Elephas maximus indicus: one gene and its partner. The protein of the gene in region 1 purifies or fractionates together with the protein of each later gene. This does not show direct contact. Links are inferred from orthologs where the notes say so. Each region holds a gene or a part of one and is shown in the gene's direction. Other genes may lie near its edges. The genes, in order: PRKCZ and LLGL1.

Region 1 (15,182 bases):
CAGACTGAATCTGTCTGAATCCAATCAGGAGACAGAAGCCACACAGCAATGTAAACATATTACATATTAACATTTAATATTATTACTGTTACGAATAGCATTAATTAATATATTAGTGAATATTATTACTATAGGGAAAATATTTAATTATTCCACTGTGATAAGAGTGACTATAGGTAGAAGAAAACACTGGTGGTGCCCTGGGCTGAGTGAAGGTGCCCATGGAAGGACACACTTAGGTGGGCCCTCTGCAGCCTGGGGCTCAGGCCTCGATGGTGAAGGCTTGGCCCGCTGGATGGCAAAGATGTTGGCTGGGTTGTCTGGGCCAGAGCTGGTGCAGCCAGTGGACAAGCAGATGCAGCTTGCTGGGTGCAGATGGGGGCTTGGAGCTTGTGTATCTGGATTGGGAGGTGATCACCAGGCAGGTAGTAGAGGGTCCCTGTGTTGTGGGCAGTGGCTGGGCAGAGCACCCCCAAATGTCCTCATGCCCACACTTGAACCGGCCACCTGCCAATGCTGGAGTCAGCAAGTGGAGCCCTTGCTCCTGCAGTGTCCCCTCAGTGCCCTCTACTGGGAAAGCTGAGCACCACGCTCACTGTAAACCAGAGCTGCCTGATAACCTCCAGCATCAGTGGGAGGGGACCAGGGATACGCTCAGCACCCCACAGCACACAGGATACCCCCACCACACAGTGCACAGGATGCTGGGGTTGTGCTCAGCACTCTACAGTGCACAGGACGCCCCCTCACATAGTCATCGGCCCCACTGTCAACAGTGCTGAGCCTGAGCAACCCTGGCTTGGAGGAATTCCATCTATTAGCCAGATATTGAATGGTGAACTTGGAACTGTGAGGTAATAACTTTGTAACTGGTACACAGACATGCACAAATACACACAGACATACAACCAAATACAGGGACGCACATGGACATATGTCTGCACTCGTACACACATAGACGGTTACCTGTTGCCATCAAGTCGATTATGACTCATAGTGACCCTATAGGACAGAGTCGAACTGCCCCATAGGGTTTCCAAGGAGTAGCTAGTGGATTCGAACTGCTGACCTTTTGGTTAGCAGCCAATGCTAACCACTGTGCCACACACGTGTATATATACATACAGGCATAGACACATGTACATGGACACACACAATACACTGAACAGACATACAGATACACAGACATATGGTCACACACACAGGCATTATGACATAGGCACAGACACACAGACATGTACATAGACATGTGCCCCCAGACACAGAGAGACACAGCCACACGTCTCTCCTCTCACCCTAGGCAGAACCTAGTTCAGCTGGGATGGAGAGGCCCTTTCTGACGCTTCTGTGGCCATGGCACCACTCCCCCTTAGGATGAGGACCAGCCTTGTCAACATGGCCCACGGGGCCCTGGGCTCTGCTTCCAGAAGCTTCTACAGCCTTGCCAGTTGCACCCCCTCCCTGCTGCCTTTCCCTTTCTCAGATCACCCTACTCCCTGGGGTCACAGGGCCTTTGCACAGTCATCCCTTATGCCTCCCCTCCTCTTTAACGTTACAACACACTTCCTCAGGGCCCACTGCCACCCACAGCCAGCCTCTTTCTGGGGACTTTCTGGACTTTCCTACCGTGGGCAGACCTGCTCTCTCCTTCCCATATTCAGCAGACCTGCCGTTTTGGACAGTGGTCTGTCTCGCCTTGACTCCCCCCACCTCCCAGGATGGAGGTTCCATGAAAGGCTACTGTGTGGTGACTCATTGCTGTATTCCCAGCACTCTGTATAGTGCCTGGCATGATATACAGGCATACCTTGGAGATATTTCAGGTTTTATTCCAGACGACCGCTATGGAGAAAATATCGCAGTACAGTGAATCACACAAATTTTTTGGTTTCCCAGTGCATATAAAAGTTATGGTTACACTATACTGTAGACCATTAAGTGTGCAATGGCGAAAGAACAGTGTACATACCTTAATTTAAAAATGCTTTATTGCTAAAAAATGCTAACCATCACCCAAGGCTTCAGGGAGTCATAATGTTTTTGCTGGTGGAGGGTCTTTCCTCGATATCGATGGCTGGTGACTGACCGGTGGTGGTTGCTGAAGGCTGGGGTGGCTGTGGCAATTCCTTAAAATAAGACAACAATGAAGTTTGCCTCATTGATTGATTCTTCCTTTCATGAAAGATTTCTGTGTAGCAAGCGGCACTGTTTGATAGCATTTTATCTACAGGAGAACTTCTTCTGGAGTCACTCCTCTCAAACCCTGCCATTGCTTTACCAACCATGTTTATGTACTGTTCTAAATCCTTTGTTGTCGTTGCAACAATATTTATAACATCTTCCCCAGGAGCAGATTCCATTTCAAGAAACTACTTTCTTTGCTCATCCATAAGGAGCAACTCCTTATCTGTTCAAATTTTATTACGAGGTTGCAGCAATTCAGTCACGTCTTCAGGCTCCACTTCTAATTCTAGTGCTCTTGCTATTTCCACCACATCAGCAGTTACTTCCTCCATGGAAGTTTTGAACCCCTCAAAGTCATCCATGAGGTTTGGAATCAACCTCTTCCAAACTCTTGTTGATGCTGATATTTTGACCTCCTCCCATGAACCATGAATGTTTTTAATGGCATCTCCAGAGGTTTTCAGTTTACTTTGCCCAGATCCATCAGAGGAATCACTATCTACGGCCACTATAGCCTTATAAAATGTATTTAAGCCCTTGATCCATGGGCTGCAGAATGGATGTCGTGTTAGCAGACATGAAAACAACATTAATCTCCTTGTATGTCTCCATCAGAGCTCTTGGGTGATCGGGTACATTGTCAATGGGCAGTAATAATTTGAAAGGAGTATTTTTTCCTGAGCAGTAGGTCTCAGCAGTGGGCTTAAAATATTCAGTAAACCATGTTGTAAACAGATGTGCTGTCATCCAGGCTTTGTTGTCCCACTTATAGAGCACAGGCAGAGTAGATTTAGCACAATTTGTAAGGGCCCTAGGATTTGCAGAACGATAAATGAGCATTGGCTTCAACTTAAAGTCACCAGCTGCATTAATCCCTGACATGAGAGTCAGCCTGTCCTTTGAAGCTTCAAAGTCAGGCGTTGACTTCTCTCTGGCTATGAAAGTCCTAGATGACATCTTCTTCCAATACAAGGCTGTTCTGTCTACACTGAAAACCCGTTGTTTAGTGCAGCCGTCTCCGTCAGTTACCTTCGCTAGATCTTCCGGATAACTTGCTGGAGCTTCTACGTCAGCACTTACTGCTTTTCATCTTGTACTTTTCTGTTATGGAGATGGTGTCTTTCCTTAAACCTCAGGAACCAACCTCTGCTGGCTTCAAACTTTCTTCCGCAGCTTCCTTACCTCTTTCAGCCTTCACAGAACTGAAGAGAGTTAGGGTCTTGCTCTGGATTAGGCTTTGGCTTAACGGAATGTTGTGGCTGGTTTTCTCTTCTATCCAGACCACTAAAACCTTCTGCATATCAGCAATAAGGCTGTTTTGCTTTCTTATTGTTCCCTGTGTTCACTGGACTAGCACTTTCAATTTCCTTCAAGAACTTTTCCTTTGCATTCCCAACTTGGCTAACTGGCACAAGAGGCCTAGCTTTCAATCTGTCTTGGCTTTTTACATGCGTTCCTCACTAAGCTTAATCATTTCTAGCTTTTGATTTAAAGGGAGAGACGTGAGACTCTTCCTTTTACTTGAACGCTCAGAGGCCATTGTAGGGCTGTTAATTTGCCAAGTTTCAATATTGTTGTGTGTCAGGGAACAGGGAAGCCCAAGGAGAGAAAGAGAGATGGAGGAATGGGTGGTCGGTGCATACAACATTTATTAAGTTTGCCATCTTATATGGGTAAGCTTCGTGCCCCCCCCAAACAATTACAATAGTAACATCAAAGATCACAGATTGTAGATCACCACAACAGAGATAAAAATAATGAAAAAGTTGGAAACATTGTGAGAATTACCAAAATGTGACACAGAGACATGAAGTGAGCACATGCTGTTGGAAAAATGGTACTGATTGGCTTGCTCAACACAGGGTTGCCACAAACCTGGAATTTGTAAAAAATATAGTATCTGCGAAGCTCAATAAAGTAAAGTGCAACAAAACGAGGTACGCTTGTGCACAGATACACACACATGCACACACAGATGCTCCAGTACACACAGGTACACACATGTACACACATGCACACACAGATACTCCAGTACACACACGTACACACAGATACTCCAGTACACACAGGTACACACATGCACACACAGATACTCCAATACACACAGGTACACACATGTATACACAGATAGTCCAGTACACACAGGTACACACATGCACACAGAGATACTCCAGTACACACATGCACATGCACACATAGGTACTCCAACACACACAGGTACACACATCACACAGAGATGCTCCAACACACACACATACACACACAGACACTCACACACATACACACACATATCTGGCCTTGACGGCAATGGTGAAAGTCAGCCTGCTGGGTAGAGATGTTTGCTGAGTCGCCTGGGCCAGAACTGATGTATACCCTGGAGAAGCAGATGCAGCTCACTCAGCTGTGGGAGGGACAGGGGAGCAAATGATAAGCAGAGGGAGGCCTGGAGTGTGTCGGGGTTGGGGGCGGAGGGAACCAAAATAAACATTAGCCAAATGAATGAATGAGTGCAGTGAATGTTTGTTATACCAACTCAGTTTCTCCAAACTACATGGTCCGTGATAAAGAAGGGAAACATCTGCTCCCCCATCTCGTCCCACAGCTGCGTGTGCCAAGGCCTGTTGGCAAGTGTTCTATGCTCTTCCTGTGACCCTTGGGTCAGCCCACACCTGGAGGGATAACATGCCTGACCCCAGTGGCTCAGCAAGCCCTCTTCCTGGACAGTCTGCACCATGAGCTGGCCCAGTGTAGGTCCACCAGCCTCAGTGAGAAAGGTGGCTCTGGAAACCAGGCATTGGGGTCATGGAGAGGTCCCTGGTCCCCACAGGCCTGTCTGCTGAGTCACCTGGAGCATAAACACTGTGTGCATTCTCTCATCTAAAGAATCTCCAAGTCCTTTGAAAGGATCATCACCCGGCCCTTTACAAAAGAAAATCAGATGGTGACCAATACCACCTTCCACAGCCACACTCCCAGGGGCTGGCCAAGGCCCTGTGTCCTCTGCCGCCACCAGGGCTCTCCACTTCAGTGCAGCACCCTTCTGCAGGTGGACTTGGGGAACGCCGGGGCTGGAACCAGGCCTGGCTGGCCTCCTGAGGGGGCGGGGCCAAGGGGCTTCCCACCTCTCTGCTCTTCAGTGCTGTTGAGGTTTTATACCAAGCCTGTGTTACTTCCATAATCAGTTAAAAAAGTATTTTTTTTTTCTATTTGGAGCTAACAGGTGTTCCAAACCAAAACCAGACCCACTGCTGTCCAGTTGATTCCAACATAGCAACGCTATAGGACAGAGCAGAGCTGCCCCATAGAGTTTCCAAGGTGTGTCTGGTGGATTTGAACTGCCGACATTTCGGTTAGCAGCTGTAGCACTTAACCACTATGCCACTCGGGTTTCCAACAGGTGTTAGTGATTACAAAATATGACGTCTTTGTGGGAAACTTGGGAACTGCAGAAATGTCTGGAGGAGAAAATGACCCTCCCGGATCCTCCCCAGGGCTCTGCATTCGACCTGCCTGCGCCTCCTTTGGGGGTTCATCTCAACTTTCCATCCCAGGAGGCTGCGTCCTCTACACCCGTTTTTACTCCGCAGTCTTCGCCTCCCTGCAGATGTGATCTTCTCATCGCTGACTGCCTGCACCGCCCTGGGGGCAGAGAAGGGGCGGGGGCCGAGGAGTGGCAGGTTCCCCCTCCAGGACCTGGCCAGGCCTGGGCGCACAGGGGCTCGGTTTCGTGACACGGGTACACTGGGTGCGGTGAGGCGGGGTGCGAGGACTGTAACCTGTCTCCTCCCCATCGACCCTCTCGGGTAGGTCACCCCTCCTGAGGGTCACACTCAGGGTTCCCTTTGGGTGGAAATGGCTCTAGTCGGCTACCCTCTCCCTCCCCAGCCCTGGGGCCTGAGGTCCTAGGAGGCCTACCAGGTTCCAGCATTCAGGAGGACCCGTTTACCTACTCATTCATGCATCTGTTCATTCCACTGCTTGTCAGATGTCTGCGGAGATGGCAGGGGATCCAGAGGGGTCCCAGGCGAACAGAGCCCCACCCTCAGCTGACACCCGAGGAGAGTGGTTGGTGAACGTGGAAGCAGATACCCTGTGAGGCTTCGCCATGGCGCCGCTTGCAGGAACCCTGAAGCCCCTGGGCTGGACACCTACTGGTCTGTCCGTCTGCCTGGGGCCCTAATGGGTGTGGGCCAAAGGCTCGGCACTGGGGGGCCCGGGGAAACTCCCCAGGGCTCACCCTCCCTCCCTGGAGTGGGATGACAGGACGGTTTGGCCTGCTGAGGAAAGCAGATGTCAGATACCGCCCCCAGGAAGAAATGTCTAGGGATGGGCGGGCAAACGACCCCAGCAAACCCCCAGCCCCACCCCGCCGGAGCCTGTGGGACCACTGACTGGATCTAACCCCAGCTGGGGGCTGGACATGGCCAGAGGGCAGCAGAGGAAGAGGGCTAGCTAGGAGTGTGTGTGGAGGGGGGGAGGGGCTACAGTCAGCAAGCCCTGGAAGAGGGGAAGGTACCTCCCAGTGAGGCCTCCCACCTGGAATAGGCTCCTGACCCCCTCTCCCCTCCCCTAACCCCGCAGAGCACAGCCACTTCAGGGTCACTAACGGTCCGTCAACCTCCCACTGTGGCACCCAGCTGGGGGCTCCACGGATCTGAACCCTCCCCATGGTGCCCAGGTCAGGCAGCTTCTATCCTCCTCTAGCTTTGTCCCATGAGGATGGGGGCTGGCAGTGGCCCAGGAGCCACCTTCCAGGACAGAGTTCCCATCTGGAGGTCTCACCCCAGCTACGGCTTCCTATTGGTAAACGCCTTCTGGGAAAGGTATGGCCTTTGGGTTTGGGTGGGGCCTTGGGAGGGCGTGTCCAAGAACTAGAATGGAGGGGGCCTACCTGCCTGCAGTGGGAGGTGAGCCTCAGGCCAGGGCTTCTCCCTGACCTCTCTACCCTCCTTCCTTGCCTGGGCAAGCTTTGTTCCAGTGTCCCTGAGGCAGGAAGCCAGAGGCCTGCACGGAAGCTGGGCTTACTGACCCCTCCTGGCTGGGCACCCTTCACTGGTGCACTCAGCTGATTCCCCTCTCATGACGGCCTCTGCACCCTTTCACCCCCAACCTACAGGGATGGAGCTCAGTGCGCCCAGCTGAGAAGACCGGAGGAGGGGGGACATTAGGAAGAGACTCAAATTACCTGTGGGTTTTGGCCTTGTAGGGGTGCTCCTGGCAGAGGGAACTGCCACTGCAAAGGCCCTGAGGTGGGGCAGCAAGGAGGCTGGAGTGGAGTAAGTCACGATGAGGTGGGGGAGATGAGCGTCTGGATACTGTAGGGCATGGTAGGGAGGGGGCACATAAAGAGGTGGCTTTTCCTCCCAGTGTGATGGGAACCAGGTGGGGGGGGCTTGAATATGAGATGGACACAGCCTGATTTATGTTTTAAGAGGGTTCTGATGCTACCATGTGGAGAACTGACTGGGGTGGGGGGAGGGGTGGGGCATGGGACGAAGTCCGAGGCTCCTGCAATAATCCAGGCAAAGGTGCGGCTTGGACCAGGTGGTAGCAATGGAGGTGATGGGCAGTGTCTGGATTCTGGAAATATTTTGCAGATGGCGTGATGAGGGATGTAAGAGGCAAGAGTATCAGGTGTTTGACATAGTCTGGAGTTCAGGAGAGCGCTGAAACCTTGCAATGGTATTTGGGGTTTTTTTTAAGCCTACGGGGCAGTTCCACTGTGTCCTACTGGGTTGCTACGAATCGGAATCGACTGTAGGGCATATAACAAGAAGCCTATACGAGAAGCTGCAGGGCCCGAGAAGAGTCCGAGATCAGGCACCGTTCACGAGCTGAAGACCAGGAGGAGCGAGAGGAAGAGCAGCAGGAGCGGTGGGAAGGTAGGGTTTCTAGAAGGGACCTGTTGGAAAAAAAAAGCCTGAGAATTGACCACTGCGTTTAAAACATGTCACCGGCGCACCGCTCCCCGCTGCTCCTTAGACCGGCGGCAACACCCGGGGGGTCCTGAGGCTTGCTAACCCCGACTGCTGGAGTTTCGATTCCATAGGTCTGGACGGGGCTCGAGAACTTGCATTTCCAACAAGTTCCCGGAGGCGCCCGTTTCCCGGAGGAGCCTGGCGCCGAGGGGGCTCTCAGGCCCCTCCAGCCCGGCCCCCAGTCTCACGTTGCCGGGCAGAGCCGGGCCACGCGTGCTCCCATTGGCCGCAGGTGGGGCCGCGCCCCGCCCGACAGGTAGTCCGTCCTGCGCCGCGGCGATTGGGCCGCGGCCGCGGAATCCCCCGAGGATTGGCTCAGGTGGCCGCCCGCCGGCGCCCTCATTGGCCGCAGGTGCCACCGCCCCCGCCCCGGGACGACCGCGCCCCGCCGATTGGTCGCCGGCTCGGTCTCGGGTCGGCCATGTTCGGACCCCCGCCCCCGTGGGCCCCTGACGCCCGCACTTCGTGCGCGCTGCCGCTCGGCCGCGCGCCTCCGCCCGGCCGCGCCCCCATCCCCGCCCCGCGCCCAAGTTCCAGCAGAGTTGGCTGGGCCAGCGTCCGTCGGCGGCGCGTCCCTTCGTCCCGCGCCGCGCACTCCCTTCCGCGTTCCGCCGCTGGCCACACCTGGCACTGCTGCGCCCCCGGCCAGGTGCGCCCCCAGCCATGGCCCGAGCGCCCGCACCACCCGAGGCGCGGCCCTGACGGCCGTCGGGAGCGCCATGCCGAGCCGGACCGGCGCCAACATGGACGGGAGCGGCTGCCGTGTCCGCCTGAAGGCGCACTATAGCGGGTGAGTTCGCGCCCCGACGGCTGGAGGAGTCGGAGCGCGAGCGGGCGGCGGTCGGGGCGCGGAGACCGCCGGAGAAGCCCCTGCCGACCCCGGGCCGGGAGCTGCGGCCGCGATGCGGGAGGACAGCGAGGCCCTTCGGTCCCAGGTGCATCCCGGGAGGTCCCGACGGGCAGCGCCGAGAGGCGGCCCCGGGAGCTCTGGAACGTCACCCGCGGGAGCCTAGCGGACAGGGCGGGGTTGGCCTGGCTCCGGATGGCGGAGCCCGGCTAGAGAGCGCTGCTGGGCGAAGGCGGGTCCCTGGCCGCCCCGGGTCCGCGCCGTGCCGGCGCCGCGCTCCAGCACTTGGGCTTTACCGACTCGTACTGGCCGGAGGACCCCGCGGGGCGAGTGCAGGGGCGGGGGAAGCTGGCGTTGCTGGGAGTCTGGCAACCTGGCCACATTGCTGTTGACATTTCCAGTGGAAATTTGGCTATGGACATTAGCCTACAAACCTTTAAGGGCTAAAATTTTTATAGAATTGTGAACACTTCTGGAAGTTTAAAAAAGATCGCGATTTTCTAAACTTCTCCATAGTTTACGGGACAGCTCAGTTAAAAAAAAAAAAAAAGTGTAATACGGCCGGTGAAGACAGGTGCAGCGAGCGTGCAGATGAGTGCGAGAACCGAGGGACCCTGGCGGGCCGAGGCGCGGTCTGTTGGGGGCCTTTCCAGCAGACAAGACTTTCGCGTCTTCGTCCGCCTGGGACGGCCTGGACTCGACCTGGGTCTCTGAAATGGGACTAGTGGGCGCCTCACAGAGGTCGGTGACCGAGCGCGGGTCAAAGGGCTGCCCCTGGCGCTGGGCAGCCCCTGGCGGAGTGAAGAGGCATTGTGCCCAGATTGCCGGGCTCCGTGGCATGGCAAATGGATCCCACCGCCGCCTTCCGCGCGGCGGGGACACCGGGTGAGGGAGGAGTGGGCGCATTGGATCTGTCTCCAGGAGCCCGGAGCTCGAACCTGGGAGCTCCCGGAGGTGCTTCTCCATGTCGGGAGGGAAGTGGAGCCAAGCCGAGGGCCGGCCTTGCCCAAGTCGGTGAACCTGGTAGTCCGGCTTTAGCAGCTTCCCTTTGCTTCAGGGCGGTGGCAGCAGGTTCAGGCCATGGAGGCCTGGGAGCGAGGGGTGGCTTCTTCCCGAGGCCGGGCCCCGTCCTGGGTAGCCCTTTGGGGGTCCGTGATTCCCGCACCTGGAGAAGGGCCTGCCGACTCCTGACCTTGAGCGCAGCCTCTTCTGGTCTCTAGTCAGGTCCCGAGGGCGAGTTGGCCCCAGGTTTGCTGTCCAGACTCCGTGGTCTTCATCTCTTCTCTGAGGCCACTTGCTAACCCCCGTCTCTTCTGCTGGCCTCAGCCTGGGCACCTGAAAGTTTGTGGGAGGGGCGTTGGTGGCTACAGAGCAAGAAGGAAGTTTTCTTGGGGAGGGCCTGGCCCAGTAGCTCCCTGAGAGGTCAGAAGGTGCTGTCATCTGACCCCAGAGAGTGGGGGCTGATTAAAATGTCGAAGTTCTGGCCCTGGGACTTGTCCAGCGTCCTGGCTCTCCTGGTTCTTAAGCTCTCTGTTGAATGTCTCATCAGAGGTCCGAGAGGCTGCCCCTTCCCAGCGAGAAAACCAAACCCAGCATGGAGTAGATTCTGACTCATAATGACCCTATAGAAGGACACAGACAGAAGGATCCCGCAGATCTAGCAACAAGTAACATTTTTAAAAATTAGCGGGAGCAGAGGGTTGACCCAGCGCACCATGATGAGAACACATCCACTCCGGAGCTGCCCCTCCACCATGGGGCATGCAAGACCTTGAGTCTTTCGTCAGGACCAGTTCAGCTGGCACAGAGATGAGACACAGGCACCCAAGTAGTCCTGGGCAGAGTTGGAGGGCAGTGCCCCAGGGATTTCTCAGCTGAGTGCTGCAGCAGCTCCTGCCCACCCCATCCCAGCGCTTCAGGCCCCTGGGGAGCGCTTTGGTTTCTAAGCACCCTGTAATGAGACCTGCTGACTCCAGTTTCAAGGCTGAGAAGGCCACGCCCCCTTCCTCTTCCTTCACCCCGTCCCCTCCCCCTCCCCTCCCCAGCCCCTTCTAGTTCCTCTCTCCACTCTCAAGCCCCTTCCTTCTCTCCTCTTCCCTCTCCTCTTCCTCATCCCCCCTTCATCTCCCTAAGTCCTCTCCTCCCTTCTCCCCTCTCTCCCTTTTCCCATTCTTCCTCTCGACTATCCTCCAGGTTCCCCCTCTCCCTTCCCTGTCCCTTTCTACCCACTTTCTTCTCCCTTCTCCTTTCTGCCTGAGGCCTTCCCCAATCCCAGCCACTTCAGCCCTCCCAGCACCTGCTTCTCCTAAAGCTTCTGCCTTGGTGTCTCTTTCTGGGGACTGGAAACTCTGAGACCTGGGGCACTGGGGATGGGGAGACCCGGTACCAGAGCTCAGCTACTGCAGTGTTCTGGAAAGTGCCCACCAAGATGAGGTGGCCACCAGGTGAGAGGCTGCCACTGGGATGGAGGTGTCCTGGGGACACTGCTGTGGGGCTCCACAGTCAGGAGCTGAGGATGGTACACCTCAGAGACGCTGGTCTTAAAAAAGGGAGTGTTTTTCAGCCATCCGCATGGTGATGGCCCCCCTGGGTACCCTCCAGAAGCTTGACCCCCCCTCCCCAGTTCCTTCAGCAGGGGGGTCCAGCGGTACCTGAAAGCTCAGAGAGTTTCCAGGTGATTATAGGCGCTTGCTGAGTTTAGGCCCTGCTCTGTTGGTTGGAGTTCCAGATCAAACTTGTTGGCTGTCGAGCAGATTCTGACTCATGGTGACCCCCTGTGTTACAGAGTTGAACGTAGGGTTTTCTTGGCTGTAATCTTAATGGAAGCAGATTGTCAGCCCTTTCTTCCGTGGTATTTGTGTGTTCCAGAGGCCTGTTTTTTTCTTGTTGTTTGCCATTTAGTCAATTTCAGCTCGTGGTGACCCCATGTGACAGAGTTGAACTGCCCTAAAGGGTTTCCTAGGTTGTAATCTTTACGGAAGTGGATCTTCAGGCCTTTCTCCTGCTAAAACCCAACCCAATCCCATTGCCGTCAAGTCTGACCCATAGCGACCCCATAGGACAGAGTAGAACCGCCCCACAGGGTTTCCAAGGAGTGCTGATGGATTCAAACTGCTGACTTTTGGTTAGCAGCCGTAGTCTAAGTAGTATAGGGTCATAGAGATGCTTGGTTGCTGGCTCTCTCCGGCTCAGGCTTTTATTCTAGAGCTTTTACTGAGACCCTCCTATGTATACAGCTCAGAGCTTGGTGCCCAGGCTGTTTGGGGCCTCGTCCTTCTCAGGGCCTGGGGGAGCCATGTGACCACGGACCCTTGGAGGGGCATGAGTGGGGGTTGTTGGCCATTGGACAGAGAAGCATTGGGCTTGGGGGGCAGAGGAAGTTGGAATTACCCCCAACTTGCCCTTGGTTGGTGTGGGGTAATGCCCCTTGGGGCTGGAAGGCAGAGCTGCTGCGCTGGGTGAGCAGGTTTGGGGGTGGAGGGAGTTAGCAGCCATGATGAACTTGAGAGGACCTTCTGACATCCCTGGAGAGATGTCCCAAGGTTACCAGAGAAGAAGGGGTCAGAGCAGGGGCCCCTTCAATTCTGGGGATCTGGGGCTGGGAGGTCTGGGGGGCAATCAACGGCTGCAGACATTCTAACGAGAAATGGGAGTGGTAGCTGCAGAGTGATGGGCTGGGGTTGGAATTTCCTTCCTGGAGAGGGTATGTGAGCAGGTGTGGGACTGCTGAGGGAGATGCTGATGGTCTGGGGAGGAGCTGCTGAGAGAGAAGCAGATGGTCTGGGGAGGGGGCTGCTGAGGAGAAGCTGATGGCTTGGGGAGGGGATTGCTGAGGAGAAGCTGATGGTCTGGGAAGGGGACTGCAGAGGAGAAGCTGATGCTAGAAGCCAGGCCCTAGGGGGTCCTCAGTGACCAGACCATGCCAAGAGGCCCTGTTGCATGCTTTTTGGGTATCAGTACTCTCCTAAGCAGTCTCGGAATTCCACAACAGCTCCCCAGAGGTAAGTGACCTGCCCTGGCCTCCCGGCCAGGGGGTGTGGAGAAGCTGGCCAGGGGGTGTGGAGAAGCTGGCCAGGGGGTGTGGAGAAGCCAGTGGAGGGTGTGTCAATGTGGACTTGGACTGTGAGGAAGTTCCCACAATGCTTTGGAGGACGAAAGTGACAGCTGGGAGGTGGTCAGGGTTTGGCCGAGGGAAGTTCTGTTATTGTCTATCTGGGCATGGGAAGTGGACTCACGTGGGCATGAGTCATACTGTGTACTCCTTTGCACTCTGTGGCCATGGTTTTAGGGTGAAATCGGGTGTGGTTGTTTTCTGGGAACAGTTGGGCATCTCGGTCACAGCACCATAGGTGGACAGTCAGGCTCAGTCAGGGTGGTGTGTTGTTGGGTAAGTGCAGTGGACAAATGGTGCCGGGGGAGCTGAGGGCATGTTGACAGATATAGAAAGGACAGCCCTAGGTGTAGGCTGGAGGAAGGGGGTGCGAGGATGGGAGGGGGTGAGGAAGTGGGAGGGTCAGTGGACTGGACATGGTAATGTGGCCGGAGCGTGCTTCCAGAAGGAAGGGCCAGAGGGTTGGTCATGTGCCCCGCTGATTGGATTCAGAGTTTGGATGTGATTGAGAGTGGTGATGGAGGTGTGGGGGGTGGGCAGGATGGATCCCAAATCATCAGGATTGGGTGACAGAGGAGTGGGCGGTGGTACAGGTTGGTGTCAGGGACCCCCACAGTGCCAGGGTTTTTACCAGAGCCATCCACCTGAGGAATTAGGGGAAGACAACACCTTTCACTGGGGCTGAGGGCTGTGAGGGAGGGGAGGTGGGGGGACCATTGCTGAGGATGACTGGCCTTAACTCCCAGAGGTTACAGAGGTAGGAGGCCTGGCTGACCTCAGGGTGACCCTCTCTGTGCCTTGGTTTCTTCATCTGTCCCTATTGTGAGGATTAGCTGAGTTAATCTCTGTAATGAGCTTAGAGCAGATGCTGGGGTCCCTGAGCAGAGGGTTGCTGGTTCTGGTGGGCAGAATTGGGCAGTGGGAGGACCCCCTCTCCTGGTGACGATGAGTGAGATCTCTGCCCTGGGCTGCTGTGCTGGGGCCTGTGGTAGGCGCTAGGCTGGCCACAGTCGTGGCTGTCCTAGTCTGTGTTCTCCTGAATGAAGACTTTCTTTGTAAGCACTTGTTGGGAGCCATAAAGTTGGTTCTGACTCGTAGTGACCCTGTGTACAGCAGAACGAAACACTGCCGGGTCCTGAGCCAACCTCACAGTCATTGTTGTTTACAGGCACTGGTGGGATGGAATACAGATAACCTCGATCAGAAAATCAGCCATGTTACCCTCAAGCAGAATTTGTGCTTGTGGAGTTTGGGGTGACTGGGAATCACTGTGCCGTCCCCAGCGTGTTAATTTCCTAGGACTGCCAGAACAAAGGACCACAACTGGGTGGGTTATGAGAATAGAAATATATTGTCTCACAGCTCTGGAGGCTGGGAGTCTGAGATGTGGTGTCTGCCTTGTCCATTCCTTCTGAGGCTCTGAAGGGAAATCTGTTCCTAGCTCTGTCCGAGCTCCTGGTGGCTCCAGGCATTGTAGCTGCATCTCCACATGGGGTCCTTCCTCTGTGTCTCGCCTCTCTTATAAGAACACCACTCAGATAGGATTGGGACCCACCCTGCTCCAGTACCCACCTCATGTTAACTGATAACATCTACGAAGACCTTATTTCCAAGCAGGGCCACATTCACAGGTCAGGACTTCAACATATTTCTTTGGGGGATACAGTTCAGTCCCTAACACCCAGCTGTTGAGGTTCGGTATCCCATGTTTGGGTGAAAAGCTATGTGATTACATCCTGTGACTGAGTTTCCAAAAAAGTGCCTGAAATTGTGTGGTTGCCACTTGGAGGGAGTGTGAGCAATCCCTCCAGAGTTTTAAAAAACCCAGCCTTCCATGATTGAATTCCTCAACTCCTCCCCCCAGTTTCCACTTCCTGTTCCTCCTCAAATTTCTCGCTTGCACAGATGACGCCTCATGTCACTGTTTGCAGTAGTGAGGTTTGGGGCGGCTTTCATCAGGTTTTTTTAAATCGATAATGCAGATGGTCTTGAACACTACCTGGCCCTTCTCCCCGGCTCCCTTTGGTGTAGAACTTGAATCTGATGCCTGGGCAGACGCCAC
Region 2 (15,795 bases), on another chromosome or scaffold:
AGGACCACCCTGCTGAGTTCGGGCAGCCAGTCTTCCGGGGGTGATCAGAGAGGCTGCCTGCCAGGGGGGCACAGCAGCACAGAAGTGGGAGAGGAGGGCCTGGCTTTGCAGAAGATAATCAGGTGGTTTTGCACTTTAAACATGTTCTTGGATTCCCAGTAAGTACCGGGCAATACTGGGGCCCCAGCGCTGAGCAGAGTTCATCCAGTTCCTGCTTCCAAGACACCTATAGGAGCGCTGTGGGACACAGGAAGAAGGTGCTTTAGGGTGAGTGGGCTTTGGCTCAGAGAGCGTGAGTCCCCCCAGATCTCAGACCTGGCTCCCAGGGCTTGGCCAGGGGCTTGCTGTCTAGCGTCTCCCTCACTCTGTTCAGTGCTCAGAGCCAGCCTTCTGGGGCTAAAGTCTTTGGAAACTTCGGCAGCCACTAAACTGCTGTTTAAGAACAGAGGAGAGACCAGAGGGCGAAGCGACTTGTCAGAGCTCATTCTGCAAAAAATCAGTCCATGAAAGGAGGTTCAGCGCCCCCATGTGGCTGTGGCTAGATGGGCCTGCAGGAGTAGCCACTGGGCTGGACAGACAGCTGCCTGGGATGCCCAGAGAGGACACATTGGAGATGAGGGATTGGGCCTGGCCTGAGGTCATTCAGATTGCATATGGCAGAGGTGGGCATCCTCCCAACACACCTGGGATGCTGACACTTGGGGGTGGCATGGGGGCTCATGTGGAAGGTTGGGGAGCTCTAAGAACCTCCTTGTGTAGCTATGACAAAGCCAGACCTGGCCTCTTTCCAGCCCCTGGTTGAAAGAGGCCCCTTATTCTGCAGAATTGAGGGTCAGGAGTGGCCCCGTCACTGGCTCAGTCTCTACCTGTACAGTGAATCCATGTCCCCTACTCCTTCCACCATGTCTCAGTGACTGAGAATCCTCAGAGCAGTCCCCAGCCCCTCTGGGGTCTAAAGGAAACTCAGGGGCCTTCACCCTGACTCCCTGAATTTGCCCATCCCCAGCCATCTCCTGCGGCTTTGGGCCAGATGCTGAGTCTGTCCCCCCACCATTGTTGCCCCCGGCCCAGCCCTGCATGCAGTAGACGCTTTAACAACAGCTGGCACCAGCCCTGCCCACCTCGGAGGTTATCGCATTCCTCCAGTCCTGTGTGTGGTGGGGGAAACTGAGACCCAGAGAGTTCAGGGACTGGCCCAAGGTCACATGTTTGTTCATTCAAAAAATATTGCATGTCCTACTGTGTGCCATGCCTGGTGCTGGGGATAAAAGACATCTGGTGTCTGCCTTCACAGAGCTGACACCCTGCTGGGGAGACAGCAATCATGTCTCACATACCTACACACACAGCGATGGTAAACTTTACTGATGATGATGTGTAGCACATAACTTACAAATAACAAATGATTTAATTGTAAATTTCATATACAGTCAGTCCCTGGAGTATGAATGAGTTCCGTTCCTAAATCTGTCTTTTGAGTCTAATTTGTACGTTAATTCAGAACAGTTAGGTACGGTTCATATCTAATGTCAGTCAAATGTTTGTCTTAGTATGTAGTATAGCGCCTTTCTATGCATAAAAAATGTTAAACCCGAATACACTAAAACATCCTTAAGATAATGCAGTAATGTTTTGACGCGTGTCACAAAGTAGCACCTGTTTGATACTACAAACCATTGTATGTACCTTGGATTTTTAACGCACAGTTAATAGGCTTTACTGGGGTTGGTTCATAACTATAACCTGGGGACTGCCTGTACTTCGTTGTTTTTCACAGAAAGCTTTTGTTGGTTTTTGCTGAATCCTGGTATGTATAGCCAACATACGGTTGTAATTCAACCACAATTTGACAAATGGAGTTGCATCCCTCTCTGCTTGTACTAGTTTTCCATGGCCACTAACAAATGACCACAGACTTGGTGGCTTAAAAAACAAATCCATTCTCTCACAGTTCTGGAGGCCAAGAATCGGAGATTACTATCACTGGACCAAAATGAAGACTTTCAGCAGGGCCATGCTCTAGAGGACGATCTGTTCCTTGCCTCTTGCAGCTTCTGGTGGCTGTCAGCGTTAGTTGACTTCTGGCTGCATCACTCCAATCTCTGCCTCTGTGGTCACATTGCCTCCACCTCTTCTGTGTGTATCAAGTCTTCTGCCACTCTAAGGACAGTTGTCATGGATTTAGAGCCCACCCGAGTAATCCAGGATATTCTTCCCATGTCAGGATCCTTAATCACATCTGCAAAGACCCTTTTTCGTTACGAAGGAGCATTCACAGGTTCCTGGGAGTAGGGTCTGATACCATGACTCTACCCCCTACTCTGCTCTTTTCTCAATCAGTTTGTTGTCATTAAATCTGATACATGACCGGCTGGTTTCTCATCCTTGAACACATTAATTGGGCTGAAACTCCTTTCAACTTCGGCTCTCATTTCTTTCATTGGCCCGCTACCATTTTTTTCCTTTTCCACGAGGCCAGAAATGTCCTAATTAGAAGCTCTTCCATCAGCCTGGGTCACAGGATGAAGAGGAGAGACTGATGCCAGTGGACGTGTAGCCAAACAAGACGTCAACCTTTGTGGCTGTGAGCCACTGAGGTGTGAGAGCTGTGCATTACCGTCTCTTAGCCTAAGTGCAACACTACTTTTAAACTTGCATTACTAACAGCTTCTCCATCACCTTCTTAAATCTAGACCTGTGCTGTTCAGTACAGAAGCCACTGGACACTGGTTACTGAGCACTTGACCTGTGGCTAGCTTGAGATGTGCTGTAAAGCGCAAAATACACCCCGGATTTTGAAGAGTTAGTATGGAAAAAAAGTGAAATTTATCATTAGTAAGTTTTTTATATTGATTATGTGTTGAAATTATAATAAAATGTATCAGTAACTTTTATATTATGTGTTAAAATTATAATATTTTGGACATACTGTGTTAAATAAAATAAGCTATTTGACCTGTTTGCATTACTGTTTTACATGTGGCTACCTGAGAATTTAAAGTTATATATGTGGCTTGCATTATATTTCTATTGGTCAGCGCTCATCTAGAAAATGAATAAAAATCAAGCCTGATTTGTGGTGTTTGCCAATTTCCATGGTGTAAAGTACATCCATCGTGGCTGATTTTGAGCTACCAACATGAGGTCACTGAATATGGAGTTGGGAAGAGACATGCAGTAGCTTACCATTGTACAGTTAAAAGAGCAGAAGCAGCAGTAAAATGTAGTTAAAATACTAATGAAGTGATGAGTTCTGAATATTATTACCTTTGTTTTTAGTATTTTGAGTTTATATAATTTTTAAATAATGGCTATGTTTAACAACTGACAAAAAAATTTAAAAATATGACAACTGGCAAGTGGCCCCAGTATCCCGTAGGAAAGGGGTGATGTGATCAGACTTAGGGTCCCTCAGGCAGCTTATTAGCTAAGGGGTTCAAAACTAAAAGGCTAGGACAAGTGGGGCGGGGCTTGGACCTCTACACGCTGGTGTCAGGGCTGGGGTCCTCCAGCCAGGTGTTAGGGCTCATGTCTGCAGTTCACCCCTGTGCCCACAGTGTGGCAGCATAGTCAGCGACAATGCTTCAGACCTGGGGCAGGGGACAGCAGTCCATTGGTTGGATGGGAGCGAGGCCCCACAGGCCCTGGAACCTGCCAGAGGTTATGCAGGGGCGAGATTTCGGTTTCCTGCTGCTTCTACCCATCAGCCAGGACTCTCAGGGCTACTGCATAAGTGGAGGGGCGCTGGGCCCTGGGGAACAAGGGGAGGCCCAGAGCCCCCAGTCTGAGCCCCACGCCATACCTCTCTGCCCCAACTCACTGGTGCATTCGGCCCTCTGAGCTTTTGCACATACCAGTGCTTCTGCCTGGGATGCTCTCCAGGGACCCTGCTCATCATGTTCAGCTCAGGCAGCGGCTACACAAAGCCGCTTTCCCTGGCCCCCGACTGGCCTCATCAGTGCTCCCCAGGACACCCAACGTGTGCCATGTGGTCATGCCCGTTGAGCAGGTCCCAGTGCCTTCACTCCAGGCTAGGAGTGAACTGTCTTTACTGAACTCTCACTGTGAGTGGAGCCTTTTATGTATTACCTCCTCTAACTTTCACCACAACCTAATACCTCACTTGGGGCCCGGGCTCAAACCCTGGCTCTGCTGCTTACTAGCTGTGTGACTTGGGCAAATTACTTAACCTCTCTGGCCTCAGCTTCTTCCTATGGGCAAGAGATTCAAAGAATGACTAGTGTCTGGCACAAAGAGCTCTATGTTAATAAACAGTAGCAATTAATATTAGACTCATTTTGCAGATGAGGAAACTGAAGCCCAGAGAGGTGAAGTAGCAGAGGCAGGATTAGAACTTGGGGCCACAAAGAGGAATAAAGCACAGAGCTCTTTATGCTTCCAAAGGGCCTGTGATAGTCCCCACCTGCCCAGTGCTTGTAGTCTCAAACCTAGCACTCCCTGAAGCAGGCAGGTGCACCCAAGTTGCCAGGTCCTGTAGCTCAGCACGAGTCAAGAAAAGCCCCAGGATCCAGGCTCAGGGCAAGTGTCAGGGCTGAGAATCCTGCATCTAGAGAAGGAACACTAGGCTGTCAGTCCAGAGACCCATACTCCCCTTGTGGCCTTGGGCAGATCACTTCTCTCTGAGCCTCAGTATTCTCCTTTGTAAATGGAGTACCGGCACTCTGTCTGGCCTTTTCTGAGACCCAGACACTTCATCCTTCAGTGGAGAGGCCCAGGTCCACTGCCCCTCCCCTCGCCCTGATGGCCCCCTTCACTTTGCACACTTTGCTGGATGAGGGGCTCAATTCCCCTGGTTTGGGCTGGCCTGCTGGCTCTTGGTCTGGAGTCCTGCTTCCCTGGTGGTATCTGTCCCAGTCAGCCCCCACCCCCTTTCTCCATCTCCCTCCACCATAGGCCCTGCCCAGCCCCATTCCCAGTCCAGGCTGCACTCCAGGAATCCTCAGGCAGGCCAGACCCCTGGGGAACCACTGGAAGAAGCTGCTTGCCTGTAGCTTGGGCAGAAGGGGAAGGGTGTGGCCTCAGCTAGTGTCTGGGCTAGCTCCTAGAAGGCAGGGCCTGCCAGTAGCCCTGTTGGCCGCCTCCCTCAGCCAGGCTCGCTCCTGGTTTCCTCCACTCCCTAGCTGCCTCTACTCTACCTCCCTTTGGGGCTTTCCCCTTGTCCTTCCCTGGGATCATCCTCTTTCCCTTTCCCTCTGCAGCTGACCTTGGGCCAGTCACTTCCCTGCCCTGAGCTTCCATTTACTGGCTGCGAAGTGAGGTCATCCTTGTACCCATCTTGCAGATTTGTTGAGGATTCAAGGAAATAAAGTGCAGATACAGCATGGATAACAGCACTGGGCACTGGGGTACAGCATGGATTGGGGTGCCTGCCTCTGGTGACACCATCAGGATTATTATCTCCACACTCCGTCAACAGCTGTGGATTTCCCTGCAGCTCCCTGATCCTGGCCTCCAAAGGCCCTCCAGCACCTCTCACGGCAACTGCCAAACCGGCCTCCTCACTTTCCTGAATTCACTCCCAGCCTGGCTCAGGAATGCTTCTATTCCCCCACCTGCCCCCCACGCACTTCTAAACAGTGTGGATTGTTATGATCTGGGATTTATGACTTTTCATTAAATATTTCAATGTTGAGTAACATGAAAAATACTGAAAATAACAAACACCCATTGCCCAATCATGGTAGTATTTTTTTATATTTGCTTCAGTTTTTTTTTTTTTTTTTGTATTTTTTAAAAATCATTGACACCTATGATGTGCCAGGTCCATTCTAGGCACTGGGGACAGAGCAATGAACGGTAGCATTAAAAACCCATGCTTCAGCTGAGGAGACAGCAATGGACACAGAAAGAAGTCAAACAGATAGTCCTGTGTGGTGAAGTGAGTTCCTTTATGTGGCCTTTTGCCTTGGTTCTTCGGAAAAACAGCCTTGGGAGATTTTCCCCCCAAACCCTGAGGAGTTACCTTTGCCATGATTTTCTACCTCAGAGGGTCTGTTACCAGGTTGATTGACATTCCCTGGGTAAGCTGTAAACAACTGGGTTGATACTTTTCGTCTGGTCCTTGGCTGCAGCCTGCCTTGCTATTGGTATGTACCTTGCAGAGATTGGTCGATAGACTATGCAAACGAGGGTCTGTGGCCTACCGGAAGGTATTGGTCAGTTTGTGGGCACCCCCCGCCGCCACTGGAAGGGGCCATGCCTTGAAATGGACAAAGAGCTGTCCATAGAAGCAGCCAACCTACAGAGGTTTTTCAGACAGAAAGAAGCAGGAAGAAAAGCAGCAGGGAGAAAGAAAGAAGCGCCAGAACAAGGGGAGACAAGGAACCTCCTAAAGGAGCCATAACATGGGTCAAGGGCTGTAACACTGAAGACAGCACAGCAACAGACAGCAGAGCCAAGAGGAACCAGTCATCGGGGGCGGAGAGGAGGCCTGCACGGTTGAGAGGAGCTGAAAGAGCTGTTCTACACTGAAGAAAGGAGATATTGCCTACCTGCTTCCTTGTCCTGATCCCGAGTTGTACCTGTACCTTAATAAACCAATTAACTGGAAGTATGGTCTATGAGTTTTGTGTATCCATTGTAAAGGATTATGGAACCCAGGAGAGAAGTAGACATTGCTGTGGGAGGGACGGCTGGTGTCAGAATTGGTGAAAAGTTTGGAGAGTGGAGGTATGTCTGACCTCCGCCTCAGAGGGCTCCGCCTTGGGCTGATATTGATTTGTGTTATTCCCCCCTGAAGTTAGAGGGGTTCTGCTGCTGCTGCTGCTGCTACCACCAGAATTTTATAGGCTGTGATTCTAAATAGGAAACCCTAGTGGCTAAAGCAGTGGGTTTTAATTCTAAATAGGAAACCCTGGTGGCGTAGTGGTTAAGTGCTACAGCTGCTAACCAAAAAGCCAGCAGTTCGAATCTACCAGGCACTCCTTGGAAACTCTATGGGGCAGTTCTACTCTTGTCTATATGGTCGCTATGAGTTGGAATCGACTCAACAGCAATGGGTTTTTAAAATTATAAATAGGTCCAGGGAGGCTTCCTTGAGAAAGTGTCATTTGAGTCACAATCCAAAGGATTTGAAGGATTTGGTGAAGTGATACCTGGGGGAAGAGTGTTCCAGGCAGAGGAAATGGGCAAGTGAAAACACCCTGAGGCAAGAACTTGTCTGGTATCTTTGAGGAAAGGTCAGGAGGCCAGTGTGGCTGGTTCATTAGGTGTACTACCAAAAAAAGGTTACTAGGTTTACTAGGCACAGACCATTTCAGGCTTTGTGCTCAATTCATATTGTGAATCATCTTACTTAATCCTCACTGCATTTTATAGATGAGGAAACTGAGGACCAGTGGTTTAGCTGAGGTTACCCATGTAGAAGGGGAGGTATTGGGATTTGAACCCATACCTGGGACCCATGCCAGAGCTGGGCTGAGCCCCAGGGTGGCCTAGGATCCTGGAAGAGGAAAATGCTGCCCCACCCAGGAAATGCCAGAAGGCAGCAGCCTCTCCCTAGCCTGAAGCTGACCTAGGGCTAGGAGACTGGGGAGAAGGGCAGCTTCCCTTTCCAATGCTGCTGACCAGGCACCCTGCTGCCCCCTCCCGCCCTCAGGTTGGGTGTGGGGCACCTAGAATCCCTGAGGACCCTTCCTTCAAGCTCTTGCCTGGGCTTCCCTGACAGCTTCCTGCTGTAGGCAAGGGCAGGCCTGGGCCTGCATGTAGGAGCCCACTGAGGTGCACGGACTGGCCTCCTGGCCCAGTCTTCTTGGGCCGCCTGGTAATCATAGGCCTAGGCTGTCCCAGCTCACAGGGGAGAGGACAGACAAACAATCATTACCTCCCTAGGCCTCCCAGCCTGGGGAGATGTACCCTCCCCAGTGCCAGTCCTGAACCCTGCCCGGCTGGGTGCATGGGGTGAGCCTGCCTTACTCAGGCCTCAGTTTACCCATGTGCACCTCAGTGTACCCATTCGCTCCACAGTTTGGTGTTTGGTGACCTGGAATCTGCATTGTTAACAAGTGTTGAGGGGTTCTGACAATCTGAGAACCCCTGCTTACCATGGGATCCTTTCCTGCCTGCCCCCCACCCTCTCTGTCTGGGTCAGATGGCCCTTCTGGGCTCCCTCAGGTCCTGGTGCCCCAACACAGAACAGCTTACTGGCACTGTGAGTGGACGTGGGCTCTCATCTGTCTCCCGTCAGACCGTGAGCTGGTAAGGGGTGGGGCATTGGCAGAGTAATGCCTGATGACTACAACCCCATTTCAAAGACAGAGACATAGAGACAAAGGAAGGGCAGGGACCTGTCCCGGTGGTGGAGGGGAACAGCTCAAATAGCAATTAACAAGAGCCATGATGATAACAGCTAACACCGGGCTCCTCCTGGGTGCCTGGCATGTCCTAAAGACGTCACAAGCAGTACTGCATTTAATCTTCACAAGAACCCTTTGAGGGTAGGCACTAGTATGACTGCCGTTTTATAGGTGAGGAAACTGAGGCACAGAGGGCTGAAGTAACTTGCTTCAGGTCTCACAGCTTCTAAGTGGTGAACTTAGGATTTGAATCGGCAATTCCCTAGCACTTCTCACGTGAGGCCCTGCGCTAGGCAAGCAGGCAGGCAACGCGTTATTGACTCATTTTGCAGAAGAGCAACTGGGGCTCAGGCCTTGTCACTCAGTCATTGGAAGGACAGTGCTGGAGGGGCCTGAGCCTCAGTCCAGCCATCTCTGCCCACAGCTTAAAAAAACCCCTTGCCTCTGCCCATCTTCATCTGTAAAACTGGAGTGTGAAATATTGGTGATCCCCTCACAGAACTGTTGAAAGCATGAAATCAATTGAAACTAGGCGAGGGCTTTCAATAGTGCCTGGCACACAGCAGACGCTCATAAGCTTTGCATTCTTATCGTCATCCCTCTTTTCCCCTCCCTGCTCCTCCACCCATCCATCCATCCATCCAGCCCCAGGAAAGGGCTGAACAGAGCTGTGTGGGCGGAGGGGGGTGGGGAAGCCAGGCCCCTGTCTCTGACAGCTGCCTAGGGGTCAGATGTCCGCCCTGTCTCCCTTGACACAGCTGGTGAGGTTGGAGCCTTGCCCACCTGCCCCACCTAAGCTTCTGGGGGCTCTGACCTCACCCAGCCTTGGTTCCAGGGCAGTCTATCTGAAGCCCAGAAGGAAAGACCCAGCTTCCAGGCCACTGTCCAGATGAGAAAAGGAGGACTGAAAAGGCAAGTGGGTACAGGCCAAGGGTCCCTCTCAGAGTAGGGGTGGGGTGCAGCTTTGTTTATACAATGTTCCCTGCAGCCTGGAAGCCCTTCCTCCATCTCTGAAAACCCACTCCAATTTGAGGGCCAAACATCCAAATGTCATGTCCTTCAGAAGAGCCTTCTCCCTCTCTTGGGTCTCTATCCCTCTCTTTGCCTGATAACCACTCCTAAGAATCCCGTGTTACCACACAGAGCCTTTCGGCTTGGGTCCTGAAGGATGCAGAGGAGTTCCTCAGAAGCTGAGGCTTGAGGAGGACTTTCCTGTCTAACCACACGGCCATGTGGGAGCTGTTCTGGCACACTGGCAAACAAAGAAAGTGTCGTCCTGCGAAACTAACTGGTGAAACAAAACTCAGCCAGCATCTGGCCAATGGCCCACAGCGTAGATAGGGAAACTGAGCCTCAGGGGCCAGGGAGTTGCTCCACTCAAAACTCTCCTGGCTTTCGTTACAGGGACGCCCCATCACTTGGATGTGCACTTCGCTCGCTCGCGGGACGGAGAAATACGCCTTCTTCAAGCTCCCAGATACTCCCGCACACTACGTCCACAGCCGCCCACGCGCGCGCCCAGGATCGAGGACTACAAGTCCCGGCAGGCCACGCGCTGCGGCGCATGCTCTGCCGCATCTGTCCGCAAGCCCGGAGAGCTCCATTGTCTTGCCTGCGGGCGGGACGGCGGCAGGCGGGCGCGCCCACTGGTCGGGCGGCGCGTCCGTCGACCGGGCCCGCCCCCTGTAGGCCCCGCCCCCAGGCCCGGGCCGCGCCCCGCCCGCCCTCAGGACCGGCGGGGCCGCGCGGCGCATCCTGCGGGCGGCGGGCCCGGGCCAAGATGATGAAGTTTCGGTTCCGGCGGCAGGGCGCCGACCCGCAGCGCGAGAAGCTCAAGCAGGAGCTCTTCGCCTTTCACAAGGTGCTGGGCCAGGGACGGCGGGGGGCGCGCGGACCAGGGGGCGGGGGAGGGGCGGTGGCGCCCCTGGGCGCGCGCTCGCCCCCACCCCCCGCAGGCTCCGGCTGGGGTCTCCGCCGACTTTGCGGGCCTTCTCCCCGTCCCTGGGCCCGACTCCTGTCGTCAGTCTGCCCGGTGTCGCCGCCACCCGCTGACCAGTTTCCCCCATCCCTTTGCCTCTCGGTTCCTCGCTGTCTGTCTCTGCATCTCGGAGTCTCTGGCTGTCTCTCTCTGCTCCGCGTGACCCTGCCGGGTTTCTGGCACTGACCCTGTCGCTTACTCTCTCCTTATCGCTCCTTCTGCGGGGATCCTCGTCCGCTCCCATCCCGGCCCAGCTCTTGGGGCGGCCAGGGCCCCGAGTTGTGTTGCTTTCGCACCCTGGCGGGGCGGGGAGGACGAGGAGTGGAGGCGGACGTGGGGGTGGGGCTGGGAAATCCCTTCCAGGTTCCTCTCTCCTCTCGCCACTGCCAGCCCCGGGCCTTGCCCTGCGCCGCCGAGAGTCCCAACTGCACTTCAAATCTCGGGGCCTCAGTTTCCCTTGCCGTGAAATGGCTCCTTACCCACCCTGCCGTGGGCTCTGGCTCCCTGCATCACATGGGCCGGTGACCTGACACTTTGAGCCAAGGAGAAGGTGGGGTGGAGGGCTGCTCCTCCTTTCTTTCCTTGGGTGAGTCAGAAGGGGCAATGGGAAAGGGGCTTCGTTCAGCCCATGCCTCACCCTGCACTGGCGTGTAGTAGCATGAGGCCCCCCTCCTGGGTCTGTGAGTTCTGTTCTCAGTTTTATGCCAAATCCCCTCACTGCTCTTAGGGTTATTATCCCCATTTTACAGGTGAGAAGATTGAGGTTCAGAGAGGGATGGTGACTTGCCCAAGGTCACAGAGAAGGCTGAGGCACTTTGTCCTGGAATTTCTTTGTCAGTTGGATTTGATGTTAGTCTTGAGGGGCAGGAATATTCTGAGTGGCCGCTGTGGTCCTGAGCTGGTGCCAGGTGCCCTGGGCTGCCATGAGGAGACCTATGTCCAGGAGGAAGCTCTGGAGTGGCTGGACTTAGAGTGACTGAGGCACTGGGTCCATCTCCCAGAGCAAGCAGAGGTTCCCTCAGACTTGGTGGCTGAGACCTTGCCAGGGACCCTAGTAGGGCCCGGGGAGGAAGGCTGGTGTTTGGGAGGGTTCCCAGATGGCTCCTCTTGTGCTGGGGTGGCTATGAGCCCCATGAGGTGAGAAAAGAATGAGGGGTGGGGGTGGGACAGGCACTGAGCTAAAGTGTCACTTCCTCAGCCAGTGAGGTGGAGTGTGAACAGGGACCTGAAACAGATGGGGAGGCTTGCCTCCTCTGGCTGGCCCTGGGCTTGCAGAAGGTGAGAGCTCTCTGCTGAGGCCCTACTCTGAGTGGGCAGCAGTGCTGGGAGGGAGGTGCTCTTGGGGAAGAGGCTCAGTTATGAAAGGGATAGTAGGTGATCCCTAGGGAGTAGGCCCTGGATCCTAAGTTGGGGAGGTGGGTCAGGGGGAGCATGGACTTTGGTCTCTGGCAGTCTTGGGTTCACATCCCAACCCTGCTTACAAGTTGCCTGTGGGATGTCCACTCTGTCATTTTAACAAATACTGAGACCCTGTTGTGTGTGAGGCCTCTTTCTAGGTTTTAGGGACAGAGGAGTGACCAAAAGGGCTAAATATCTCTGTTCTCAGAAGGCTAATGTTCCAGTGGGAGAGGCAGCAAAAAGCCAAAACAAAAAAGTAAGATAGGCAATAGTTTGACCAGTGGCCAGTGCTGTGGATAAAATTAAAGCAGGGCGAGGGTGTGGAGAGTGTGGACAGGGTGGCTACTCTAGCTGGGGTGGCTTAGGGATGCCTCTAAGGAGTTGATTCTTGAGCTAAGGATTGAGTGGTAGGAAGGAGCCTGTCATGAGGAGCCCTGGGAGAGTGCATTCCAGGCAGCAGGTACCAAGGCCCTGTGGCAGGAGCCTGCCTAGTGAGTTGGAGAGTACAAAGGCTGTGGAGACTTGAATCCAAAGAGCGACAGGACAGTGGGAAGAGATGAGAGCCAGAGGTGATGGGCCAGGTGGTAAGGACTCTGCCTTTGAGTCTGAGTGTGGTAGGTGCCCTGGGTCCTGGCAGAGGAAAGACCAGATCTGACTTTGGTTTTCTCAGGCTCCCTCTGGCTTCTGTGTGGAGAGCAGATTGCGGGGGTGGGGTGGGAGGGATAGGGAGGCCAGCGAGGCGGCTATGGCACTAGTCCTGGCAAGCACTGGTAGGGTTTGGCACGGGGTGGGGACTCTGGGGTGTGAGAAGCTGAGCTGATGGGGTCAGGAGGGGTTGAAGGTGGGGTGTGAGGGAACCAGATACTGGATCACGGCCCTACCCTGCCTATCTCCCTCTTTGTAAGACCTTCAGGGCCTAGCAGGTCATATACTCAGCATCTTCCTGTGTCCTGTGTGCTTGACACTAGGGCTGAACCAGGCACTGGCCACAGTCAGGCCCAGCACGGGCTGGCAGTGCTGGTGGGAAAGGGAAGCCACATCCCCCTCAGTGAACAACTCTGTCCTCTGGTGGCCTCACTGCCCCCGTTGTCCAGATGGGAAAACTAAGACTTAGAGTGTGCTGTGACTTGCCCAGGGCCAGGCCATGGGCACGCCAGCTGCCCAGAGGGCTCCATCTTGGTGTGGACGGGCCGAGGCAGAGTGCCTTAGGAAGTCTGTGTCTTCCTTGGGTAGTGTGGCCCTCAAGTGATGTCAGGACTGGAGGCCACTGTGCGCCATCCCTAGGGAGAGCCTTGGAGCTGGCGGGAGCTCCCAGGCAGGCAGACCGAGGAGGGCACAGGTGAGAGATCTCTGTGCAGGCATGGTGGTGGGAAGGGGCGACACCACTTGGGACTGGCCTTTGCTCTGCGTAGGTGGGTGGTGTCTTTGGAGATGCTCTGCCAACACCCCTGGTGTGCAGCCCCCATCACACCATTTCACCACTGCTTGAGGGTGGGAATCCTGTTGCCCAGTTTCCAGGTGGGAGAACCAAAATCTGGGAGTGGGTGACACCTTCAGGGGTAGGGCTGGAAGGTTCCTCTCTCTGGGCCTCAGTCTCCCTGTCTCTGGGTCTGGGGAGGTGAGGGATGGAGGATGGTAGCCCCAGGGGGCATCAAGAGTCTCTCCCTAGCTGACCCTAGATATTAACCCTTGACCTCTGGCTTCCCTGCAGGGCCTGTGTTTGGGGTCCTCCATGGACTTCTAGGTGGGACCCTGGGCAGCTGACTTCTCTCGGAGCCTCATTCTGTGCCTCCAGGGATGAGTTAATAAGCCCCAGCCCACATGAGGCAGGCTTCCTCTTTGGTGCTGGCCCTAGTGAACTATGTGTCACCAGCACCTTTGCACAGTGGTGTCAGTGACATGGGCATTCAGTGAGGGCCATGGGGAATACCAGTGTGGGGTCGTGGGTAGAGGGCCCCTTCACAGCGAGGATGCCGCCTCGTGATGCAGGGGATGGCGGGAGCCTGATTGCCTTGGGTGGGCCTTAGGGATGGCCGGGGCAGCTGTGCCTGAGTGTGCCCCCTGCCACTCCAACAACCTACCCCCCACCCCGCAGACCGTGGAGCATGGGTTCCCCAACCAGCCCAGCGCCCTGGCCTTCGACCCCGAACTGCGCATCATGGCCATTGGCACCAGGTCTGGGGCTGTCAGGATGTATCCTTTGTGGCCCTGGCCTCTGGAGCAGCTGGCAGTTCCTGGGTCCTGGTCCTCTCCTCGGGGCTGTCTGCTAGGGAGTGAGGAAGGAGGGGCTCTGTCAGGGGCTGCGGTGAGGGCTGGGATGTTGGGCCACAACATGGGTGTCGGTATGGCCTCTGAGCCTGTGAGGGTCCTCACAGAGATGGGGTCCTTTTACCGTGAGCCAGGATGGCGTCCCTGCCCTGTGTCTCTGTGAGGCAGTTACCTAGGTGACTCCGCCATCAACATGTGACTAGGGGGGCCGGGGGCTAGGAGGTGGTACCCACAGGGGGGCAGGGACCTGGAGGTCACACGTGTGCTTTTCCCTGGTGATTGGACACACACGTGTGTGCGTGTGCAGACGTGTTCGGCGCGGGCTGGGGGCAGTGCCAGGCTGGGCATGGAGAGCACAGCACGGCCCCACCTGGGGCCTGGCGGCCGCACAATCAGACCATGTGAGCTGCACAAAGCAGGCATTTTCCCTGCAAGTGGGAGGGGGGGCAGCCGAACGCCTTCTTGCTTGCTGCTGAGAATCCCACCCACTGCTCACTGTGTCGCCCCTCAGGCGGGCCTGGTTGGTGGCTAAGGCTTCTTAAGCAAGGGGCACCCACCCACCCCTCCCAGTTGGCAGAAAAATGAGTCAGTGCCTGGAAAGGGGAGGCCCTGGGGTGCTGGCTGGTTCAGGGTGGGTGTCTGGTCTGTGCCTTGGAGTCTCTTGCCTACTTTAGGGGGTGTGGCAGGTGGGCTGGCCTTCCTCCCCAGTGGCCCCTGAGACACCTGGTAGGCAAAAGGGAGCCCCTGCAGCACCTTGTACCCTGTCAGCCGGCAGTGTCTCCCTGAGGCTCCTGTTCCCGAGCATCATGCCCTGGGGGCTCTCAGAGCTGCCCTCCCGAGTTGTGGGCTTTCTGTAGGTCAGCCCTCTGTTGTCACAAAGAACCTGCCGTGCCTCAGAGAGGCAGGGGGAGCCCTCTCCTTCTCCTCCCTCCTTTCCCACAGCCCCACAGCCTGAGCCCTGGGGTAGGGAAACTGAGGCTGGAGGGGACCAGCCCTGATCACCAGAGCTGCCCCTCCCGCTGCAAGGCTGGCTGCATATCCTTGGAGACCCTGGTCCCCGCCCAGCTGCTCCTGCCCCCTCTTTTGTCCCCTCCTCTGTGTTCCCTGCCAGGCTTCTGCAGGGAATCCCAGCTCAAGCTCTAGGCAACAGCTCCTTTGTTGTTGCCAGGGCAACATCAGGCCTCACTGACCACCCCCCCTCAGCACACCCTCATGGGGCCCCACAAGCCTGCTGGTCCACCAGGTCCACAATCATACCCAGAGTTGCCAGGACTCTGGCACTGACACTGGGGTCCTTGAGCAGGTCACCTAACCTTTCCAAGCTTCTGTGTGCTATTATATCAAATGGACAGGCAAGGGTCCCTCCTCCTTCCTGGTGAAGGCCTTTGGCTACGTGCCCTGGAGGGCGGTTGATTTCCTTGTCCACAGCTGGAGTTTGACCGAAGCTATGGGAAGAGGCAGCCAGGACTCTCTTCCCGTGTCCCCCACCCCATACCCTGTGTCTCCCTGGCCAGGACACATGGCTCTGTGGCCTCTGTTGGTCCTGTCTTGATGAGATGCTTGTGGCCAGACCAGCTAGGCATGGCTCTTGGGTACACATGCACACACATGTATGCGCACAGACACACACAAATGTGAGGGTGAGATAGAGCGGGCCCCCAGCTACGTATCAGGCCCAGGTTAAGTGTTTCAGGCGTGTTTTTATCCTCACTTCCTCTACACAACAGCCCGGAGAAGTAGGAGTCATTGGCCCATTTTACAGATGAGGAAGCGAAGGTCAACACAGCAGTGCTGGCTTGCAGGAGCTGGTGGAACCTGCACCCTGAACCCTGGGCT

The links.
Region 2: the proteins of PRKCZ (region 1) and LLGL1 purify together in Homo sapiens (affinity purification with mass spectrometry; 6 studies listed by BioGRID and IntAct, counting the BioPlex papers as one, with this or other methods). This does not show direct contact. The link is inferred for Elephas maximus indicus from reciprocal best matches to the Homo sapiens genes PRKCZ and LLGL1.

Annotation. Positions count from the first base shown.
Region 1 is NC_064821.1:40,593,672-40,608,853, forward strand, and holds the start of PRKCZ (protein kinase C zeta type), read left to right. Parts: upstream 1-8,613; 5' UTR 8,614-8,881; coding exon 8,882-8,952; intron 8,953-11,095; exon of another isoform or gene 11,096-11,453; intron 11,454-15,182. UniProt on the Homo sapiens protein: Calcium- and diacylglycerol-independent serine/threonine-protein kinase that functions in phosphatidylinositol 3-kinase (PI3K) pathway and mitogen-activated protein (MAP) kinase cascade, and is involved in NF-kappa-B activation, mitogenic signaling, cell proliferation, cell polarity, inflammatory response and maintenance of long-term potentiation (LTP).
Region 2 is NC_064820.1:214,122,263-214,138,057, reverse strand, and holds the start of LLGL1 (lethal(2) giant larvae protein homolog 1), read left to right. Parts: upstream 1-10,033; 5' UTR 10,034-10,095; coding exon 10,096-10,176; intron 10,177-13,786; coding exon 13,787-13,884; intron 13,885-15,795. UniProt on the Homo sapiens protein: Cortical cytoskeleton protein found in a complex involved in maintaining cell polarity and epithelial integrity. Involved in the regulation of mitotic spindle orientation, proliferation, differentiation and tissue organization of neuroepithelial cells.